Macaca fascicularis: one gene and its partners. The protein of the gene in region 1 purifies or fractionates together with the protein of each later gene. This does not show direct contact. Links are inferred from orthologs where the notes say so. Each region holds a gene or a part of one and is shown on either strand. Other genes may lie near its edges.

Region 1 (6,678 bases):
CCAATCTTGCTCTTCATCATCATCATCTCCTTAGCCATTAATTCTAGGTGTCAAGTGTCATATAGGGTTTGATAGTATTATCTTTCAGATATTCATGTGTTTTGTGGACTAGTTGGATTATAAGATTTAGAGATCATTTGGACAGGCAGCCAGCCCTGGGATCAGGACATATTCTGGTCCTTCAGCTACTAAACTGGTAATTTTTAGCAATTTATCTGACCTTTCTAAGCCCATTTTGTAACCTATAAAATGAGTTTAATTTTGTTATGTTTTTAAATACGTAAGTTTTGGATAATGGATATAAGATGTTTGCACTGACAGTAGCCTTCTAGAGATTTTTCCATTTGATGTTGGAATATTTGTCATTTTATGCATATTATTGGAAAATATCATCAGAACTTGCTATTCAAAATATGGTCTGTAGGCCAGCAGTATTAACATCGCCTGGGATTTTGTTAGAAATGCAGAATATCAGGCCCCACAAGGGTCCTGCTAGATCAGAGCCTGTGTTTTTCACAAGAACCCCGGCTCATTTCAGTGCGCATTAATGTTTGAAAAGTACTGACCTAGAAAACAAGTGCCTGCCTGCCTGATTTTTTTTTTTTTTAAGATGTTCAGGGAAGAGGGTAACAATGTCTATATTCTGACCTGCTTGCAATCTAAAAGTGTTTTTTATTCCTAGTCTTTTTGTTTGTGAATGTTTTTATATATGTAGGCATATGACAAATAACTGATGTAGTATTATACAGTATATAACTTCTATGTACTTTTGATGTTGTACACAAGGAAAATCCTTTCCATGTATTGATGACCTTTTATTTCTTAATTGTCAAATGTAGATAATTAGGAAAGTTGATAAGCAGACCGCATTATTGGATGCAGATGATCCTGTGTCACAACTCCATAAATGTGCATTTTACCTTAAGGATACAGAAAGAATGTACTTGTGCCTTTCTCAAGAAAGAATAATTCAATTTCAGGTATGTTTTTAAATTACTGGTGAAATCTAAAATATACGAACTGTGAGGTTAGCATCTTGCAAAAATATGAAATTTTCATTTGCTGTTAATTATATACAAATACATGAAGCTATACACAGATAGGGATCTCAGGTATGAGCATCCTTAACACACAATCCTCAGACATGCAAGCAATCCTTCCTCAAGGAAGAACTCAAAATTATGAAAATGTTCTCAGAGAAAGAGTTAACATCTAGTTCTAGGGTTCTTAATTGAAGAACAAAGAGCCCCTCAGGATATCCAAAAATAGATTTTCAGTGCTCATTGAATCTTCTGAAATTGTGTGCAAACATTGTATAGACGAAGCATTTTTCTGGGTGAAGGCTCAAAATCTCATCAGATTTACATCGTGGTTTCCCAAGATAGTAACGATGACATGCTTTAAAAGCTAATGTTTTACATTTACTCAGAAGGCTTTCATGAGGTTATGACATGGGCAGATGATTTAATAAGATAGTCACAGTTTCATGTGAAACTCCTTTCCAGAGAGATGGCCACACACACACTGATGGGCATGCTGAGTCCCTGGTCTAGGTGTGTTAAGGAAGGGGTAGGTGCTTTGCCTTCCCATCTTGATTCCCTCCTATGGAACGTGCATAAGCTTATAGCTGTTGCCTAAGCATGAGGACCCCCATTCTCTTTCTTAGGAGTTCCCGAAGAGTTTTAAACAGCCATTTACATCACAGATATTGATCTGCTATTAATGAAATTTCTACCTGCATTGGTGTACTCATGGTTGCTCTGAAAGTTATTATTATTTAATATGTCACTGAAATAGTTTGTATTATAAGAAAAACTGCTGTCTGTGGGGTTTCTGTATTAGTATTCTGTTTGTGTTTATGTAGGGATGGGCAAAGCACCATGCTTTAGAAAGTTTATAAGTTTTTACTGAATTCTCTTAACTCTTGTCTGAGGGTTACTTTGGTAAAATTTTCTTATACTCTTAATGCAAACTGTATAAAACTTAGTTTCTAAACTTCTTTCTTTATTAGGCCACTCCATGTCCAAAAGAACCAAATAAAGAGATGATAAATGATGGCGCTTCCTGGACAATCATTAGCACAGATAAGGCAGAGTATACATTTTACGAGGGAATGGGCCCTGTCCTTGCCCCAGTCACACCTGTGCCTGTCGTAGAGAGCCTTCAGGTGAGACTGCCTAGTCTAAGTTGGCCTTTAGCTCTTTGCAGCTACTCTCAGCTATGACTTGGCATCATTTCATTTCATGGGAGTTTTGATTTTTCTCCAATTGTGTGATTTGGGGATTTTTATATTCACCATTTGTTGATTTTTAAAAAAACAAAATAGGAGGAGCGTACTTGCCAGAAAATTTAAATTTAAATAAACTTGTGTGTTATCTTGAAATGTTTTTAGCTAGCTTTGTAATAAAAAACATTTTAATTGCCCTTTTTTTTTAAACAAATGAAGTTGAATGAGAATCTAATTTGTGTACTTTAATGAAAAATGAAAAGTTTTCTCAGTGTTGTGATTTTCTATGAATTGCAGTTGAATGGCGGTGGGGACGTAGCAATGCTTGAACTTACAGGACAGAATTTCACTCCAAATTTACGAGTGTGGTTTGGGGATGTAGAAGCTGAAACTATGTACAGGTACTTGATAAAACTTTTTACATCATCCAGAGGTTGTGAGGGGTGTGGGTACAGGAGATTCTTTCCTGGCATTGATTGTAATGTGTTAAACAACCTTGTCTTAAGTCTCATTTTTAACATGTACTTTGCTTTTTAAAGTGCTTTTAAGTAATTTATATTTCCTCCTCAGGTGTGGAGAGAGTATGCTCTGTGTCGTCCCAGACATTTCTGCATTCCGAGAAGGTTGGAGATGGGTCCGGCAACCAGTCCAGGTTCCAGTAACTTTGGTCCGAAATGATGGAATCATTTATTCCACCAGCCTTACCTTTACCTACACACCAGAACCAGGGCCGCGGCCACATTGCAGTGCAGCAGGAGCAATCCTTCGAGCCAATTCAAGCCAGGTGCCCCCTAATGAATCAAACACAAACAGCGAGGGAAGTTACACAAACGCCAGCACAAATTCAACCAGTGTCACATCATCTACAGCCACAGTGGTATCCTAACTACCGTCTTTTTGCTAGGACTTAAACTGACTTGAGTGTGGCAAAAAGTCAAAAAAGGAGAAAAAATGAACAATCTTTTGTGGTTTCTTGGGAACTTTTCATACCAGGTGATACTATTCAAAAACCCCGTTATCTCTCTGCAAGTGCTGATTTGAAATGCAGAAGCCACAGTTTAAAAAAAAAAAAAAAAAGTCAAAATGTACAAACTATTGGAAATCAAGTTTTTCAGCTGTTTGGTTGGTTGGTTGGTTGGTTGGTTTTTGTTTGGTTTTGTTTAAATGGGCAAGAAGTAAATAATGTGGCTGGAATACAAGTTGAACAAACTAGAAGACACAAATCTAACACAGTTTTTATGGACCAAGGAACTTGTATATTGTATAAGCTTTAGTAAAAGGTACATTTTCACCATACCTTTTTTTATATCACGGTATTATAGTACACCTTGTTACCAAATAGGTTGTTCTCTTCCCCACTTACCTTTGAGCTTTTGCTCTAAAATACATTCAGGTTCCAAGCCTGACCATGCTTGTTTAATCTAATTGTCATACTCTTCCAGGTTTTTTTTTTGGTCTAGGCTGGAACTTTTTTCTTTTATTTTCAGCTGAAGTCTTATGACTTTTCGTGAGTCAAAATTGTTTGGATTTCAGCAAGTCAAATCTTGTAAAGGCCTATGTATTTTTTTTTAAGATTATATGAAGTCTGTGCAAAAGCTTTAAAAAAAAATGCCTCTGCCTTGCCTGCAATACATGCAATGTATGTTAACTTAGTCTCTCTTCTCAGACACTGTTGGTAGTAATTTCTGTGTGTTCCTTTTTTTTTTTTTTTTTAATGGACTTATAGTGGTTATCCAAGAGGTTCTAACATTCACATGCAATTTGGTGTGGCCATTTAGCCATTAATGAGTTAATGGCACAGAACATGTTGATATTTGAAGTGTTTTCTCCCCTTTTCCCATAACGTAAATACATAATGTGTGTTCCAGGATTTGTTCAGGTTTTTCCCCCCTCCTAATCTTGTACATAACTTGTATTATGTGTAAGTTAAACATTTTATTTTGAACTTGGAATGTTCCTAGTGATTTCATTCAGCAGGGTATTTTCTGCCTTGTTGGCAAGTGACAAAAAATATGGGAAGTATTTGCTACCAGTTGGTAGATGGTGCCCTTATGGTAGAATGAGGAAAATGTCAGCAAAAGCATGTTTTATTATCTTTACTTTTTTGGGGGGGGGTTGAAGGGGGTAGCTAGCCAGAACATCATTGTAATCTTAAAACATAAGATGCTTCTATTAGATGATCAACTAAAATAGCTGGAAGACAGTACTTTAGAAACAGATAGTTGTAAGATTATAAAATGCAAATGTAACTTATGTTTTCATTTTTTTCTCTGCCTTTTTTGTTTGTTTTCTCTTTTCCAGTACTGAGCATCTCCACAAACATCTCCTAACTCAGAAAATGTTTCTTTTCTTTTCAGTTGAGATTTGGTTGCATTCAGGGTTGTATGTTGGCCTTGCATGCTAAACCTGCCAGTTTTACCTTGCTTTCATTCCTGAACTTTGGTTATGCTTTTGTTTGGTTTCTTCGAAATTGCAGCAGACTCATTGGGCTACATTTAGTACAGGAATCACATATGTAATGTTATACGACACAGTCTAGTAATACAATCATCCCTCTTAGAGTAAAAACTACCTCTAGATTGTGGTAAGCTTTTACTGTCCCATAAAACAGGAGCCACAGTACCTTATGAATGCAAAACTGTAACTTCCTACAGTGTTTCCCTACAGAACATTGTCTTTCTGGTGTCCTGGGCTGGTTTGAAAAAGTTTCCATTAATAGACTTTTTAGAAATTATTATTAGTAGCATTTTTTTTTCCAGCTTCGCTGTCTTCATCACTCACTCTATGCTCAGACTATGCCACTGTAAATATTCTTCCTAACATCTTTAAATCGCCTTTTCCTCAGTTTTCAAGGGGAAAGTCATTTGTAAAGCACGTTAGGTGATTAAATCAGTTATTGCAGTTTTCTCTTACTGCAAGCCTTTTTAATCACCCCCAGGCTGCATTTTATTCTGTATCGCCTTTTTTCTTCAAATCTGCTCCAGTCACTCACATCTCTCTTATAAGCTAATCCTGCCTCACACCTTAAATCTGTTTCAGTGATCAAGGGCAGAACTCATTGTGGCCTTATCTTTCTTTGTTGTAACTGTTCACCGTCTCTTTCTTACAGACCGCTTATTTCTGAGTAATAGTTATTCCTCTCTGTGGAGTCATGGCAGGAGTCATTACACAGTGCTTTTGTTCAGAGCATGGACATGTTCCTAGTGCTGCTTTGCTTTAACGGCCACAAGTTTCCTCCACTTCCTAGGTTTGGTATTTAGTTAAGGAATCATATTAAATTAACCAATAACAAAAGAGATACTTTTGAAGAACAAACTATTCCTTACCCATTTTTGTAGCTCAAAAATAATTTTTCAAGTTCATGACTTTGTTAAAATGAACTTGTGCTTTTTAAACAAACGTTTGTTTTATTTTTATTGTTTCTTTCCATAAGATAATTGAAATATTATACTGTAAACCCTTTTCTCTCTCTCTCTCTCTCTCTCTTTTTTTGAAAAGTCCAAGAATCTACTTTTACAGGCATTTTTCCCCACCTATTTTTGGCCATTCTTATACCACAGACTAAAAAGTGAAACGATTTGTCCATTGTAGCTTTTTGTTTATCAGTGGTTTTTTTGTCAGCTGCTTAAATTTTTTCTTTCATGGTTTTGTGAATCATTTTCAGTATGATAATTTATAGGAACCTTGTCCTCTGGTTATAGTAGACTGTGTCCCCTCCTCCAGTAATGGCATTATTAGACATGCTGATCATTTACCCGCAGAAAGACTCTCTTCTTAGAATGGTGAGTGCTTCAGTTATAGTATGTTTGAATTTTTAAAAATTCTGTTTTAGAAATGTATCTTATGCTTTCATGACTTTATGCAATTTCTAAACATACACATAGAAGCTGAGTCTCTGATCCAGTATGTTTTTATTTGTTCCATTTAATTTATCACATAGATTGAGAAGGCAAGCTAAAAGCTTTAAAAATGCCCTTTATATTTTGAGTGATTTCAGAGTTGAACACTAGTATGCTATCTAAATTTGCTGCTCATTTCTTTAATCTGTGGCAATTAAAGGCATCCTTATACATGACTTAATCGTGAAATGTTTGTCACTTTTACTGCACAGACTTATCTGCAATCATAACTGGTTAGTTCTTTTTGTTTTGTTGTTTTTAATGAAACTGGTACCATCTGTGCTTTCACAAAAAACTTCCAATGCCGTTTTTGAGAACTAACCTAACTAGTCATGCTAACCAGAAAATCCACTGGGGAGGAGGTTCCTTTTGAAACAAAATGCTGTTCAGTTAGTAACCAAGTTACTTTGATTTCAAAAGCAGCTGTGTTTCTGATGAGTACTGAACAAATGTGTGTAATTTTCTGTGCCAGACTTACACTTTGTTTTCAAGCACTGCAATGTGGGATGGATGGTTAGAAACAATAATATATTAGGGTTTCTGTTTAACCCT
Region 2 (7,239 bases), on another chromosome or scaffold:
AGCCTGGGTGACAGAGCAAGACACCGTCTCAAAAAAAAGAAGAAAAAAAAAAAGAAAAGACTTGCCTATAAGTCATAGGCTGTATTATAAGCTTAATGCTGGACAATTTTTAAATGACTTCTCTGTAAGTCATATCTTTGTACATGTAGCAAGCTGTCACATTATAGAAAAATGAACACATTGCCTTCACTTTTCCATCAACTGCAACCTTAGAGCACTCATTTTCAGTTAAGATACAGATTCCCTATGTTCAATAATACAGTGCCACATAAAAATTCCACTCAATCCAAAAATTCGAAGTTTTTGCAATATAGGCAACAACATGCTAAATTAATTGTAAAACAACTACAGCACTAAGGTGAATAACTTGTACTGGGATATAGAAGTTCAGTATCAAAGCTACTAGCAACACCAATCCACAAAGATTCTATAAAAGTTTAGTGTAATTTGCCGGGCATGGTGGCTCACGCCTGTAATCCCAGCACTTTGGGAGGCCGAGGTGGATGGATCACATGGTCAGGAGTTCAAGACCAGCCTGGCCAATATGGTGAAACCCTGTCTCTACTAAAAAAAACTACAAAAATTAGCCAGGCGTGGGGCAGGCGCCTGTACTCCCAGCTACTTGGGAGGCTGAGGCAGAAGAATCACTTGAACCCAGGAGGTGGAGGTTGCAGTGAGCAGAGATTGTGCCACTGCACTCCAGCCTGGGCGATAGAACAAGACTCGGTCTCAAAACAAAATCAAAAACAAAAAAAACATGGAAAAAAAAAAGTTTGGTGTAATTCTCACTTAAGCGGTCACCTTCAATCAAAAAGGAATTAAGATCTTATTTATTGTTGGGAAAAAGGAGACAGTACTAACAACCACCTATAATCAACATTGTAAGGAATAACAAATATTTGCTGTATTAATTGTCATTAAATTAAAAACACAGTACCTCTTGTACTAGTTTACAAAACAAAAACAAAAAAGCACCATCACTCTAAAGTTGTCACCACTTAGTAATCTGAGATATTTTAATTGCAGCTGCGGTATTTGTTTGTTGCCTGTGTGTATGACTCATATAGAAAGGTTTTCCCAACATGGCTGGATTTTTGAGAATGCAGAAGCCATAACTGGGGCATACTGTGTGGGAAGTATCATGACAGTGAATGAATAAAAGGGGAAAAGAACTCATGACATAATTTTTTTTAAGTTTTTATAAAAAGCAAGTCACTCACTAAAGGCAGGCTCTGCAGAATAAAAGGAAAGGCTGGGGAAAAGCCATCCCTGCTCTGAGAAGCCTTCCTTGACTCTCTTGGTTGGATTCAGTGCACTTCTTAGACTACATAGCACTTAACGGGTTTCCTTGTCTGGCTCCCCAGCCATACTGTATGCAACTTCAGACCAAAAGCTGTCTTAAATTAGTACCTACTTCCCAAAATGCCTGCCATATGGAGGGCCCTCAGTAGGTGGTTCATAAATAGGAATAATCAATTTTATATTTACATTTTATTTTACATTTCACTTTCAAAACACTATCTGTTTTGATCCACGCTAACAATCATGGGAAGGGCTTTATTTAATCAAATGGCTTTTGATTTTATAAAGAATTAATTCAGGGCTGGGCACAGTGTCTCACGTCTGCAATCCCAGCACTTTGAGAGGCTGAAGCAGGTGGATCGCCTGAGGTCAGGAGTTCGAGACCAGCCTGGCCAATGTAGTGAAACCCTGTCTCTACTAAAAATACAAAAAATTAGCTGGGCATGGTGGCGGGCATCTGCAATCCCAGCTACTCAGGAGGCTGAGGCAAAAGAATCACTTGAACCTGGGAGGTGGAGGTTGCATTGAGCAACATCATTGCACTCCAGCCTGGGAAACAAGAGCAAAACTACGTCTCAAAAAGAGTTAATTCAATGACTAAAACAATCCTGAAATGACAAAGATAATTATATATTTGTTCATCTTTGAGATAGCTTCTCCTTGGGACCTCAGTATTCTCATAAAATTCAGATGTTTTGCTAGCATTTTCTTTGCTTGCTCTCCATAATAGGTAGGACTCACCCTGCTCTGAATCTTACTAAGGGTTTAAACTACATAAAGCTATTATTAAAGACCCTTCTAGAAATCACACAAAAAGAAGCATCCTAAGTTATTTTTTTTCTGATCCTGTTCTTTTTGTAACTAAGGTAAGGAATTGCAAAAGTCAAAATCTGGAGAGCAAGTGATGTCATGGATGTCATGAAGTTGCATCAATACCTGATGATGATTTAGCATAACAGTGCAACATATTATGCCAAGAAGCATGATGAGCCACCAGGATGTTTTACTGCATTAATTTCATGACTCTTTATTAGCAAATTGATATGCAAAGTAACTCTCCAATTTTCTACCACAGAGAAGCTGCTGGTTCAGATTTACATCTTTACAAAGACACTAAGAAAATCAACAAATTTCTATGGAAAAGTCTTTGATTTAAAAATAGAAGAGGTGGCTGGGCGCAGTGGCTCAAGCCTGGGGTGGGGCAGGGTATCGCTTGACACCAGAAGTTTGAGATCAGCCTGGGCAACATGGTGAAACCCCATCTCTACGAAAATTTAAAAAAAAAAATTAGCCGGGCGTGGTGGCGCACGCCTGTAATCCTAGCTTCTCAGGAGGCTGAAGCAGGAGAATGGCTAAACCCAGGGGATGGAGATTGCAGCGAGCCGAGATTGTGCCACTGCACTCCAGCCTGGGTGACAGACAGAGTGAGAGACAACCAAAAAAAAAAAAAAGAGAGAGAGAGAAAATGGTCAAATAATAACCTAAAACAATTGTCATTTTAACAGTGAAAAGCTTTTTAAGATATGCCACATGCCTATGGATCAATGTAGATTGAATCATGTATTTATATTGGCTTGTCAAAAGCCAACAGTTACTGGGTATAAAATGACAACATACAATAGAAAAGACATCCAATCAGATTACACATATGAATACACTGAAAGTTAGCAATTTAACACAGCATCACTAATGGCCGTAAGAGCTACAGACTTAATTCTAAATGTTCAATTCTAAATGACTGTACTTCCTCCAAATTTTCCTTGTCTCTTTAAATCCATGATGTCATCATTCTTAAGTACAAATAAAGCCAATTTGTTACAAAAGGTATTTTCGTGTGTCCAAGCAAAAGCAAATGCCTCAACAATTTCCCATGCAAGTGCAATGAAGTCATTATTCCTCAAGGAAGAGACCACAAGGCTTCAAACCGACTTCCCTACATGACAGAAACACAATCGAAGTCTCCCAATTAGCATTTAAACAACAACAAAAGTTGTTCTCAAAAAGGAACAACATAGTTACAATGTCGCTGCCAGCAAGTATGAACTGGTAATGTATCAGAATTTTCATCTAGATCGATCAGAATCCCACCATAGAAAAATTCAAAGACGCTGGCAATTAAGAAATGAAGCTTTTATTTTCCTAATAGAAGTCGGGAGATTTAACAGACAAAACAATTGATTATTCTGAATCTTAACAATCCGAAGCTTTCAAACGAACTCAGGGCTGAAGTTACTCTGCAGCGACCATCAAGATCTCACAATCGTTTCCTCTTCGCTTACAAATTCGTTCCCACCCTCCACCGTTCCCTTTGCACACACAATTCTCGCCAAGAGAAGCCTTCCACATTCACAGCATGGATTGCTGTCTCAAGCAAGGAAATCCGCAGTTCCCATTTCTCTAGGGGAACATGCAGCAAGCTAGGGGATAGGAAAGGCCTTTTGTGTTTTATTTAACGTAAACCAATTCCAAAATTATCCCTTTGCAGCTGCAGGTTCAGAGATGCTGGCCCCTAGCCGCAGCCCCAATTTTGATGCGCACCCGACCCCCGGCTCCCCTCTCGCATAGGAGTGAAAGGTTCGGAGGAGGAATGAAAGGATTATCTGACACCCTAAAGCCATCCTTGCCCGGGCCACAGACCCCTTCACTGCCTGGGTGAGGGGACGAGAACCACCCTGCTGAGGAGAGGGGGGTGGGTTCGCTCCCGACCAAAAGGCTGGCTGGAAAGGACCTCTCCTCCTCGCCTCACTCGAGGACGGCGATAGCAAGGCACCCTACCCAACCAGGACCGACCCCCGCGCAGGATACGGGGCCTGCGCCAGACCCCGGGCGCCCGCTGCCCCTTGCCAGTCCCGGGCATAAAGGGCATGAGGCGCCGGCTCCCCACCGCGGCCCGGGGAGGAGAGGCCTCACCTGGCCCAGCCCGCTCCACGCTCTCGGGTTCGCTCCGCTGGCGAAGGTAATGAGGGAGCCAGGGACAGGGCCAGAGCAGAGGCGCTCTGCGTCAGGCCGCGATAGCGGTGCTCGGGGCTCCTCACAGCTGGCGGGACCCCGAGCCGCCCGGAGCCGCCATCTTCCTCCACTCAAACGCCGCCGCCGCCGCCGCAGCTGCTGCTGCTCAGGCCGGGAGAAGACAGCGCAGAGCGCGCATGCGCCGGGGCGGGCGCGGAGGACGCGCGCGCACTCACGTCAGCGCGGCGGCCTGTCGCGGGGCGGCCAGGCGGCGGCGCCATATTCAGAAGGGCTGTGGTCACAGACTGAGGTTCTCTGGAAGGTGGAAGGCGGTCGGGGTAGCCAGGCTTCCGCACCCGCCTTCGCCGCGTCTCTAGCGTCGCCTCATAGCCGCACCCACCCTCCGCTGAACTGTCTGGGGCAACTGGGTGGTTTTTCCAGTGGTTTGAGACTAACGTTTAGCCAGGAATTAACTCACTTCTACCCCGAGGGCCCGATGAGCACAGAGGGCTGTGGCCGATGTAAGTGCCCATGGATACTGCCAAGGGGAGGGAAACTCTGCCTGAGGTGTGCAAGAGAAGCCTCCCTTAAATGTAGCCTCGTAGCAACCACTGTGTGAGTTCTTACTAGCTCCGCTTTTAAGATGAGGAAACTGAGGCACAGAAAACGATCAGTTATTTGACCAGAGTCACACACCTAGCAGTGAAGGTGGGCGGCGCGGGAAAGAGGATTTAAACTCAGGCATGTCTGGTTCCCAAGCTCCTTTACTTCCTACTGGCTATCACCAGGGGATAGGATCCAGCAAAGTCCCCCTTCTCAAGGGAGCAAGCTGGTGTGTAGGTGAGAACCTTCATGAGCCCAGCCCTACAGCATATGGTCTAAGGAAATGCCAGATAGAGAGTCGAAGGCTTCCATCTAAACTCTGTAAGCCAAAAAAAAAAAAAAAAAAAAAATCTAAGGCCCCCCCCCCCCCGCAAAACCATCCGAATGGACTTCCTCCTAGGCCAGGGCAGTCTAAAATGTAACCATGGTTCAGGCCATGACAGGAAGCGGGACATAAGACATGCCTCATTACACCCTCCAGCATTGACATCAACACAACAGACCTTAAGACTGTTAAGAAACATTTACAATAGGCCGGGCGCGGTGGCTCACGCCTGTAATCCCAGCACTTTGGGAGGCCGAGGCGGGCGGATCACAAGGTCAGGAGATCGAGACCACGGTGAAACCCCGTCTCTACTAAAAATACAAAAAATTAGCCGGGCGCGGTTGTGGGCGCCTGTAGTCCCAGCTACTCAGGAGGCTGAGGCAGGAGAATGGCGTGAACCCGGGAGGCGGAGCTTGCAGTGAGCCGAGATGGCGCCACTGCACTCCAGCCTGGGCGACAGAGCCAGACTCCGTCTCAAAAAAAAAAAAAAAAAAAAAGAAACATTTACAATCTATTCTCTCTGGAGCCTGCCTGCCACCTGGAGGTTTCACATGCATGATGAAACTTTAGTGTCCACAACCCTTATCATAACCCAGACATTCATTTCTATTGATAATAAGGTTTTTTTTTTTGAGACAGGGTCTGGCTCTGTTGCCCAAGCTGGAGTCTAGTGATGAGTTCTTGGTTCGCTGCAACCTCTGCCTTTCGGGCTCAAGCTGTCCTCCTACCTTAGCTTCCTGAGTAGCTGGGACTACAGGCGGGCACCACCATGCCTGGCAAATTTTTCCATTTTGTTGTAGACGCAGGGTTCACCATGTTGCCCATGCTCGTCTCAAACTCCTGAGCTCAAGCAATCCACTTGCCTCGGCCTCCCAAAGTGCTGGGATTACAGGCGTGTGGCACCGCACCAGGCCTATTGATAACTCTTTCAACTCATTGCCAATCAGACAGTTTTTAAATCTGCCTATAACGTGAAAGCCCCCACTTCAAGTTTCCAGTCTTTCTGCACCAAACTAATGTAGTTTTTATTTATTTATTTATTTACTTATTTTTATTTATTTATGTTTTTTTTTTTGAAACAGAGTCTTGCTCTGTCACCCAAACTAGAGTGCGGTGGCACCAACTCGACTCACTGCAACCTCCGCCTCCTGGGTTCAACCAATTTGCTATTTGCCAAATGTAGTTTTTGGTTTTTTTTGAAATGGAGTTTTGCTCTGTCGCCCAGGCTAGAGTGCAGTGGCGTGATCTCTGCTCACTGCAAGCCCCGCCTCCTGGGTTCACGCCATTCTCCTGCCTCAGCCTCCAGAGTAGCTGGGACTACAGGCGTCTGCCACCACGCCTGACTAATTTTTTGTATTTTTAGTAGAGACAGAGTTTCACTATGTTGGCCAGGCTGGTCACCAACTCCTGACTTCAGGTGATCCGCCCACCTAGGCCTCCCAAAGTGCTGGGATTACAGGGGTGAGCCACAACGCCTGGCCTTATTATTTTTTTTTATTTCTTTCTTTTCTTTTTTTTTTTTTTTGAGACAGAGTCTCACTCTGTCACCCAGGCTAGTGCAGTGGCATGATCTCGGCTCACTGCAACCTCCACCTCCCAGGTTCAAGCAATTCTCCTGCCTCAGCCTCCTGAGTAGCTGGGACTACGGGTGCGCATCACCATGCCTGGCTAACTTTTTGTATTTTTAGTAGAGACGAGGTTTCACCATGCCGGCCAGGCTGATCTTGAACACCTGACCTCGTGCTCCACCTGCCTCAGCCTCCGAAAGTGCTGGGATTACAGGTGTGAGCCACCGCACCAGATCTAATTTTTGTATTTTTAGTAGGGGCAGGGTTTCACCATGTTGGCCAAGTTGGTCTCGAACTCTTAACCTTAGGTGATCCGCCTGCGTTGGCCTCCCAAAGTGCCGGGATTACAGGGGTGAGCCACCACGCCCAGCCTGCACATTTTCAATATTGGTAAGTTGCCATTTACGTATCACAACTATCTATATAGCTTCAGCTTGTGCATCAGATACAAAGTTATGATGGGCTTTGAGCTTGTATTCTGATTAGCATCAA
Region 3 (7,201 bases), on another chromosome or scaffold:
ATTATATAAACACTCCACAGTGTTTATATTGGGAAGATATTGGGAAGGAAATATATTTGTAAAAGATGAAGGCTGTATGTATTTTTTTTTCTTTTTAAACTGGTTCACTTAAATTCTTTAGAGGATGGGATGTATTTTTCTTGCTGAATGTTCAGTGCTTTTTCCTTTTCATTTGTTGTTCTGTGGTCACACTATGACCTTAGCTACATAGCAGACTTTCCCAGATGTATTGATTACAAATAAACAGTTGTTACTTAGCAAGACCTGAAAATATGTCTGCAGGTTTCTCCTTGAAGCAAATGTGTGGGATCATTGCATTTCCAGAAATCTGCCTCCTTCACCCTCCGTTGACAGTATATGTCATGCCTCACTTTCTTCTAGCTGAGCTTTAAATCATTAGAGCTTAAATTGTCAGATCGTTCATTGCCTTTCCAGGGTTATTTAGTAAAGTTTGTTCAAAACAAAAATGCCTTTTCTGGGTTCTTTTTTCAGTTTTATTTTGAAGGTCCAGCTTCCTGATTAAATGTCTGACATATTAATGAATGACCAGCAGCAGCTTTCAGCTCTTAAAAAGACACTTATATTATGATTTTACATGCTGGTTACCTGTTCCATTGTTGTCAAATGCCCACTCTCCATCAGATGTGTTCCTCTATTTTCTTGTCCACAAAGTACTCCTCACTTTTCAATTTGTCACGTTACTAAATGGTGTTACATTAAAGCCCTGTGTTAAGTGTCTGCTTTTGACTGAATTTCTTGATAGTAACCTTCAATGTGTGTGTGTTACTATGTTCAAGTGGGTTGATCTTCCTTTAATTGGCCACTATGTGAAAGTTCAATAATATGCAGAAACTATTATGGACAGTGAAATAATGATTTTGTCTCACCACATGAGTTTGATGCAGTCTTTTATGTTTAGCCCTTTCCTCTTCCTGCCCACATGATTGCAGTGCAGTAGTTTCTGTTGCATAATAGTGTGGACAGCAGCTCAGAAAAGGAGTGAATGCTACTGGTAATTTGTAGATAATATTCTTTAAGACTTGGGGGAACCATTGAACTTTGAAATGTTTATTAGAAAATTCTTTGTTCAGAATCAGACTCCATATTTTACGTATACTTAAATACTTCAGGGATATTGTTGAAAGCCCAGTTTTTTTATGTGCTATTAAATTTTTAGGTTACATACTGAAGAAAAGTATGTACACAGAATGTAGTGCTCCTAGTTACTATTTTTTCTGTTAATGAAATAGTTTAATTCTGGTGTAAAAGTTCTATGTTTGAATGCTAAAAAAAAAAAAAAGCTGGACTGCATTATGGCACTTTTGCCTTGGTGGCCCACCTTCTCCATTTGAAACATTAGTATTTGTATTTTTCTGCTGCGTTTGTATGAAGACATACTTGACTGTTCTCTTGATTTTAAAATAAAACCTCATGGGCTAAAAAGCTAGAGTAACAAATGTTTGAGCTACTGATGGTGTATCTCAGTGTGCAGCCTCCTGCCACCTCCTGCTTAACCTTTTAGCAATTAGAGTGCCAATATCTAGAGTTCCTGATATCCTTTGGCATCACACTACCTAGTTTTAGTACTAACACTGTTTCATTGCTCCAGTCCCTCTATTCCCCCTTGCCTATTAGTTTTAATTATGGGGCATAATTTGTCTTGGTTTGGTTTTGTTGAGTAACTCAGTTTTATCTAAAGGACCAATGTATTTGGCCGGGCGCGGTGGCTCATACCTGTAATCGCAGGACTTTGGGAGGGCGAGGTAGGCAGATCACCTGAGGTTGGGAGTTGGAGACCAGCCTGACCAACATGGAGAAACCCCGTCTCTACTGAAAATACAAAAATTGCCGGGCGTGGTGGCTCATGCCTGTAATCCCAGCTACTCGGGAGGCTGAGGCAGGAGAATCGCTTGAACCGGAAGGCGGAGGTTGCAGTGAAACGTCATCCTTTGCATTTCCAGTTCCCTCTAATGGAGCTGGACTCCTGCATGCTTTTGCTCACATCTTCTGGACTTTTTTAAAAAGTAGTGAGTAATACTGCACTTTTGAAACTTGCTCGGGCTTTTATAAATAGGTGGAAACTGACTACCAGTGATTCGGGATGGTGCAAGAGGAAACTACCAGCTCACTAGACGATTCTGACCAATTATGGGGCTGGATACAAGGAATAAGGTCAAAGTAAAACGGCTGAAGTTAAAATAGCATGGTTACTTAGAGTTCATCAAAGTCGAAATTTGAAAGATAAAAAGAAAGCTCTCTGTACCGCCAGGTGGGCGACGGGGACGGGCCAGCTGCGCCGCACCCGCCTGCCGGATTCCCGTTTCCTCGGGGGAGCCGGAAGGACCTGCCTTCAGCGGGCGACGTGCAGGAAACCAATAGCCGCCTCTTGGACGGACTCCTGTCAGTCACGCTTAGCCCCGCCCCCAGGACTAAGGCCCGCCCAGGGGCTTCCCTCCGCCCTTCGCTTGAGAGTTCCTTTTAAATACAGCTCTGGAGCCCGAGCGCGCCTCTTGCGTGCTCGTCCCCACGCCCTCGGGCGGCCGGTCCTTCCTTCTCTGATTGGCCGGGGCCCCTGCTCATCAGCCGTGACGCACTAGGTCTCTTACCAAGGCCCCGCCTTCTTCCGAGAGGCCCGAAAACAATTTTAAGATGGCGGCCGCGGAGGTAGCGCGGAAAACAATGGGGCCGGGGCGGTGGGGACAGGCCGAGGCTTGAGGTGGGCAGCAAGCGCCGGCTGGGGGTCGGGCCGAGCGGGGCAGGAGGAAAACCCGCCGCCGCGCGCGAGCCCGCTCCGCTACCCTCGGGGGCATGGCGCGGCCGTGAGGCGTACAGAGGTAGCCGCGGGGAGCGAAGCCCGCAGTGCCAGCCGGCCCCGAGAGGCCCGGCCCCGGGCCCGGCCCGTGCAGCCCGCGGCCCATGGTGCTGCCCACCTGCCCCATGGCGGAGTTCGCGCTGCCGCGGCACAGCGCGGTCATGGAGCGCCTTCGCCGGCGCATCGAGCTGTGCCGGCGCCACCACAGCACCTGCGAGGCCCGCTACGAGGCCGTGTCGCCCGAGCGCCTGGAGCTGGAGCGCCAGCACACCTTCGCCCTGCATCAGCGCTGCATCCAGGCCAAGGCCAAGCGCGCCGGCAAGCACAGGCAGCCGCCCGCCGCCCCGGCCCCGCCGCCCGCCGCCCCGGCCCCGGCGCCCGCCGCCGCCGCCGCCGCCCCGCGCCTGGACGCCGCTGACGGCCCCGAGCACGGCCGCCCGGCCACGGTGAGTAGGGCGCGGGAAGGCGCTTGTCGGGGCGGCAGCCCCCTCTCCCGAAAACGCTTCCTCTGACGAGGATCGGGCCGCTGGGAGACTTCCCCAGGCATCCGCGACTCCTGGATCTGGCTGGAGGGAGGGGAACATGGCAGGGAGCTGAGAGGTTGTCATCTTCGGGAAGTAGCACGGTGGCGTTACTTTGGGAAAACAGCATCGTGAGGGCCTTGCAGGAGGCCCGACCTGGGAAGGCTGGCGAACGCTAACCGGAGGGTGTTTCTTCCAGACTTGATTTCAGGATGTTGAGATCTTTATTCGAAATAGACTAGCATTCGAGTTGCCTGTGATGGAGGGAGTTCCTGCACCGTAGGCCTGGCCTCATTTATTCTGCAAATGTTTATTGGGTCCTTGCCCTTTACAAGATCCTGTGCTGTAAGCAGGGTCAGGGCTTTCTTATGGAAATAAGTCGGCCTTCGGTTGACCAACTCAAACTTCTCTGAATGGAAAATCAAGAAATCTGTGGAAAACTTAGTAAAACGTTCAGTGAGTTGCATATGAGTATTCCTTGTTTAGGTAGCCTGAACTTTGTGAACTTGAGATTCCTGCAATATTATTGACAATTCTAGTTTTAATTTATCAGGCCTGTTTAAAATCTCTAATGATGTTAGATTGTTGGTCAGTTATTACTCCCTTTGGGCTCTCAGTAAATGTTCCTGAAATTTGTTGGTTAGAGGTTTTTCTCCCTGAAACAGATTCACAAAAGAGACAAGATTTTTCAACGGTTGTCTTGGGGATTTTAGTTTAAAACAAATGTTAAAATCTAATTTGTTCTGTGTATTTTTAAATTCATACCTTTATTATCTCTCACCTGGGCTATTGCAGTGCCCGTCCCTAGCTAACTAACGAGTCTTTAGGCATCTAGTTTCTTTCTCTCTTCCTCTCGAAATGCTAGAAATCCTTCTATTGCTTGAAGGGATGAAGTTCAGAGTCTTTGGTTTGGCAATTGGGACCAGTCCTAACCTATCTTTTAATGTCTCTCACAGGTCCTCTGCTCTGGTTGAATTATATTTCTCATTCTCTTCTCCACTAGCCTTGATTGCTGGGCTAGAAGGGAAAAAACCACTCAGATTTCCTTGCTTATTGTATCAACTGGTCAAGGCTTCTCATCTTCGCTTTTGTCATCTGTAAACTAGGGGCATGTTGGGCTTATTATCTCCCAGTGTTCTTTCCCCGCCCTCCTCTCACTCTGTTGCCCAGGCTGGAGTGCAGAGGCACAGTCATGTCTCACTGCAGCCTCAACCTCCCTGGCTCAAGACTCCTCAATCCTTCCGCCTCAGCCTCCTGAGTAACTGGGACCACAGTTGCACACCACCACGCCTGGCTAAATAAAAAAAGTTTTTTTTCTGTTAGATATGGGGGTCTCATTATATTGCCTAGGCTGGTCTTGAACTCCTGGGCTCAAGTGATCCTTTCTTCCAGCTTGGCCTCTCAAAGTACTGAGGTTATAGGCATGAGCCACCTCACCCTGCCACCCCCAGGGTTCTTTTAAAAATAAAAAGAAAGGAGTGTGGACTTGAAAATACAGTATTTCATACATTTAAAGACTGCCTGTGGGACCCTCCTTCATGCCTTTCAGAATCCTGCCACCCTGCCAGTCCCAGCTTATCTCTTTCTTCTGCCTTAAAGCTAGTTCCTGAGCACCCTAACTCACAGCAGTAAGAATCTCCTTTGTCAAAACATTTAGGAAACATATTGTCTATGCTATTTATTTTATTTATGTGTTTATTTATTTTGAGACGGCGTCTTGCCCTGTCGCCCAGGCTGGAGTGCAATGGCGCGATCTTGGCTCACTGCAACCTCCGCCTCCCGGGTTCAAGCGATTCTCCTGCCTCAGCCTCCCTACTAGCTGGGACTACAGGTGCTGGCCACCACGCCCAGCTAATAATTTTTATATTTTTAGTAGAGATGGGGTTTCACCATGTTGGCCAGGCTGGTCTCAAACCCCTGACCTCAGATAATCCACCCGCCTCAGCCTCTCAAAGTGCTGGGATTACAGGCGTGAGCCACCGCGCCTGACCTATTTATGTTTTTTGAGACGGAGTCTTGCCTTGTCGCCCAGGCTGGAGTGCAGTGGTGATCTCTGCTCACTGCAACCTCTGCCTCAGCAATTCTCCTGCCTCAGCTTCCTGAGTAGCTGGGATTACAGGCACACACCACCACACTCGGCTAATTTTTGTATTTTTAGTAGAGACGGGGTTTCTCTGTGTTGGCCAGGCTGGTCTCGAACCCCTGACCTTGTGATCCACCCACCTTGGCCTCCGAAAGTGCTGGGATTACAGGTGTGAGCCACTGTGCCCAGCCTGTGCTATTTATTTTTAGCACATGGTCACTTATTACTTTAGGTCGAATCTTTCCAACTAGACTGTCAGCTCTTGGAGGCAGGGAGGGCTTGGGCTTACAGTTGGGTAGTGCACATCTTAGGTGTATCTTAAGTGCCTGTTTGTTGAGTTATTGATACAAACTTGGTAGTGCTTTACTCAGTAATCTCTCCTCCTATACACTGACCTCAAGCAAGATGATGTAACTTCATGAGCCTCCTTTCATGGCTCAAGAGTAACAACTCTTGTAAGGCCTTTTTTTTTTTTTTTTAAAGGAGTCTTGCTTTGTCACTAGACTGGAGTGCAGTGGCGCCATCTCAGCTCACTGCAACCTCCACCTCCCAGGTTCAAGCAGTTCCCCTGCCTCAGCCCCCCAAGTAGCTGGGATTACAGACATGAGCCACCACGCTCGGCCTGTGTTAGGAAGGACTTTTAAGAGTAGTTTGTGGTCATTGCAATTGAAGGAAATAATGAAAGCTCATAAAAATCATAGTTTTATACACAAATAGTTGCCTTGAACCCTCCTTAGAAAGTATATTAGTGGGGGCTGGGCGCAGTGGTTCACTCCTGTAAATCCCAGCACTTTGGGAGGCAGAGGCGGGCGGATCACCTGAGGTCAGGAGTTCAAGACCAGCCTGGCCAACATGGTGAAACCCCGTCTCTACTAAAAATACAAAAATTAGCTGGGCATGTGATGTGCGCCTGTGGTCCCAGCTACACAGGAGGCTGAGGGAGGAGAATCACTTGAACCTGGGAGATGGAGGTTACAGTGAGCCGAGATCGTGCCACTGCACTCCAGCCTGGGCAACAGAGGAAGACTCTGTCTCAAATAAAAATAAAAAATAAAAATTAAAATTAAAAAAAAACGTATATTAGTAATGATTCAATTTTGTTTTAAAGTTATTCTAAGAATTTAGACCCTGTTTGATTTTTTTTTCAGTCCTGAGTCAGTGGAGGAAACTGGGCATGCTGTTTGAAGAGAAATTAATTCTGAGTGTGTTAGAATTTGAATCTAATTTGTCAGTCATTCCTTTTAATGTCAGAGCTTAATCAGATGTGCCATGTTAAGGTGATGTCTTTTTATCACATTAAACCTTGATCTATGGATTTCTTGAGTTTAAACTCTACAGTTGGATGTGCTTTTCTGTGTCTCTGCTAGGAAGAGGGACCCTTTCCACTTGGACTCCGAGTTACTCTAGCTGATCTCTTTGGTCTTGGAATGGGGTCGTAGGAGTAGAAGATGAGTGTCATTAAGAAAACAGTGGCTCCTTCAATTCGGGGGGAAGAGAGCCCTTGAGTGTGTAGGACTTTGGCTTGGAGAAAACAGCTTTGCGCACACAGATGGAAAGAAGGTATCTCTTAGTCATTGTTATTTTTGACAACTCCATGTATTTGGTCTCATTAATATTTCTTACATAAGGAATATTATAAGTTCTTAATTTTTTTCCAAGTGAACTGTATACTTTTTGGCAGTCATTTCAAAGTTACTTCACCAGCAGCCCATTTGTACAACTGAGAAGAGATCAGATTTACTGCTAGAGTTTACTTGACTTCAGGTTATTGTTTTCTCAGGATAT

Evidence for each region.
Region 2: the proteins of RBPJ (region 1) and FBXO42 purify together in Homo sapiens (affinity purification with mass spectrometry; 3 studies listed by BioGRID and IntAct, counting the BioPlex papers as one, with this or other methods). This does not show direct contact. The link is inferred for Macaca fascicularis from reciprocal best matches to the Homo sapiens genes RBPJ and FBXO42.
Region 3: the proteins of RBPJ (region 1) and MAML1 purify together in Homo sapiens (co-immunoprecipitation; 12 studies listed by BioGRID and IntAct, counting the BioPlex papers as one, with this or other methods). This does not show direct contact. The link is inferred for Macaca fascicularis from reciprocal best matches to the Homo sapiens genes RBPJ and MAML1.

The regions. Positions count from the first base shown.
Region 1 is NC_088379.1:25,563,977-25,570,654, forward strand, and holds part of RBPJ (recombining binding protein suppressor of hairless), read left to right. Parts: intron 1-839; coding exon 840-980; intron 981-2,011; coding exon 2,012-2,167; intron 2,168-2,524; coding exon 2,525-2,628; intron 2,629-2,797; coding exon 2,798-3,113; 3' UTR 3,114-6,678. UniProt on the Homo sapiens protein: Transcriptional regulator that plays a central role in Notch signaling, a signaling pathway involved in cell-cell communication that regulates a broad spectrum of cell-fate determinations.
Region 2 is NC_088375.1:218,760,630-218,767,868, reverse strand, and holds the start of FBXO42 (F-box only protein 42), read right to left. Parts: upstream 4,435-7,239; 5' UTR 4,213-4,434; intron 1-4,212. UniProt on the Homo sapiens protein: Substrate-recognition component of some SCF (SKP1-CUL1-F-box protein)-type E3 ubiquitin ligase complex. Specifically recognizes p53/TP53, promoting its ubiquitination and degradation.
Region 3 is NC_088380.1:186,605,126-186,612,326, forward strand, and holds the start of MAML1 (mastermind-like protein 1), read left to right. Parts: upstream 1-2,767; 5' UTR 2,768-2,916; coding exon 2,917-3,258; intron 3,259-7,201. UniProt on the Homo sapiens protein: Acts as a transcriptional coactivator for NOTCH proteins. Has been shown to amplify NOTCH-induced transcription of HES1. Enhances phosphorylation and proteolytic turnover of the NOTCH intracellular domain in the nucleus through interaction with CDK8.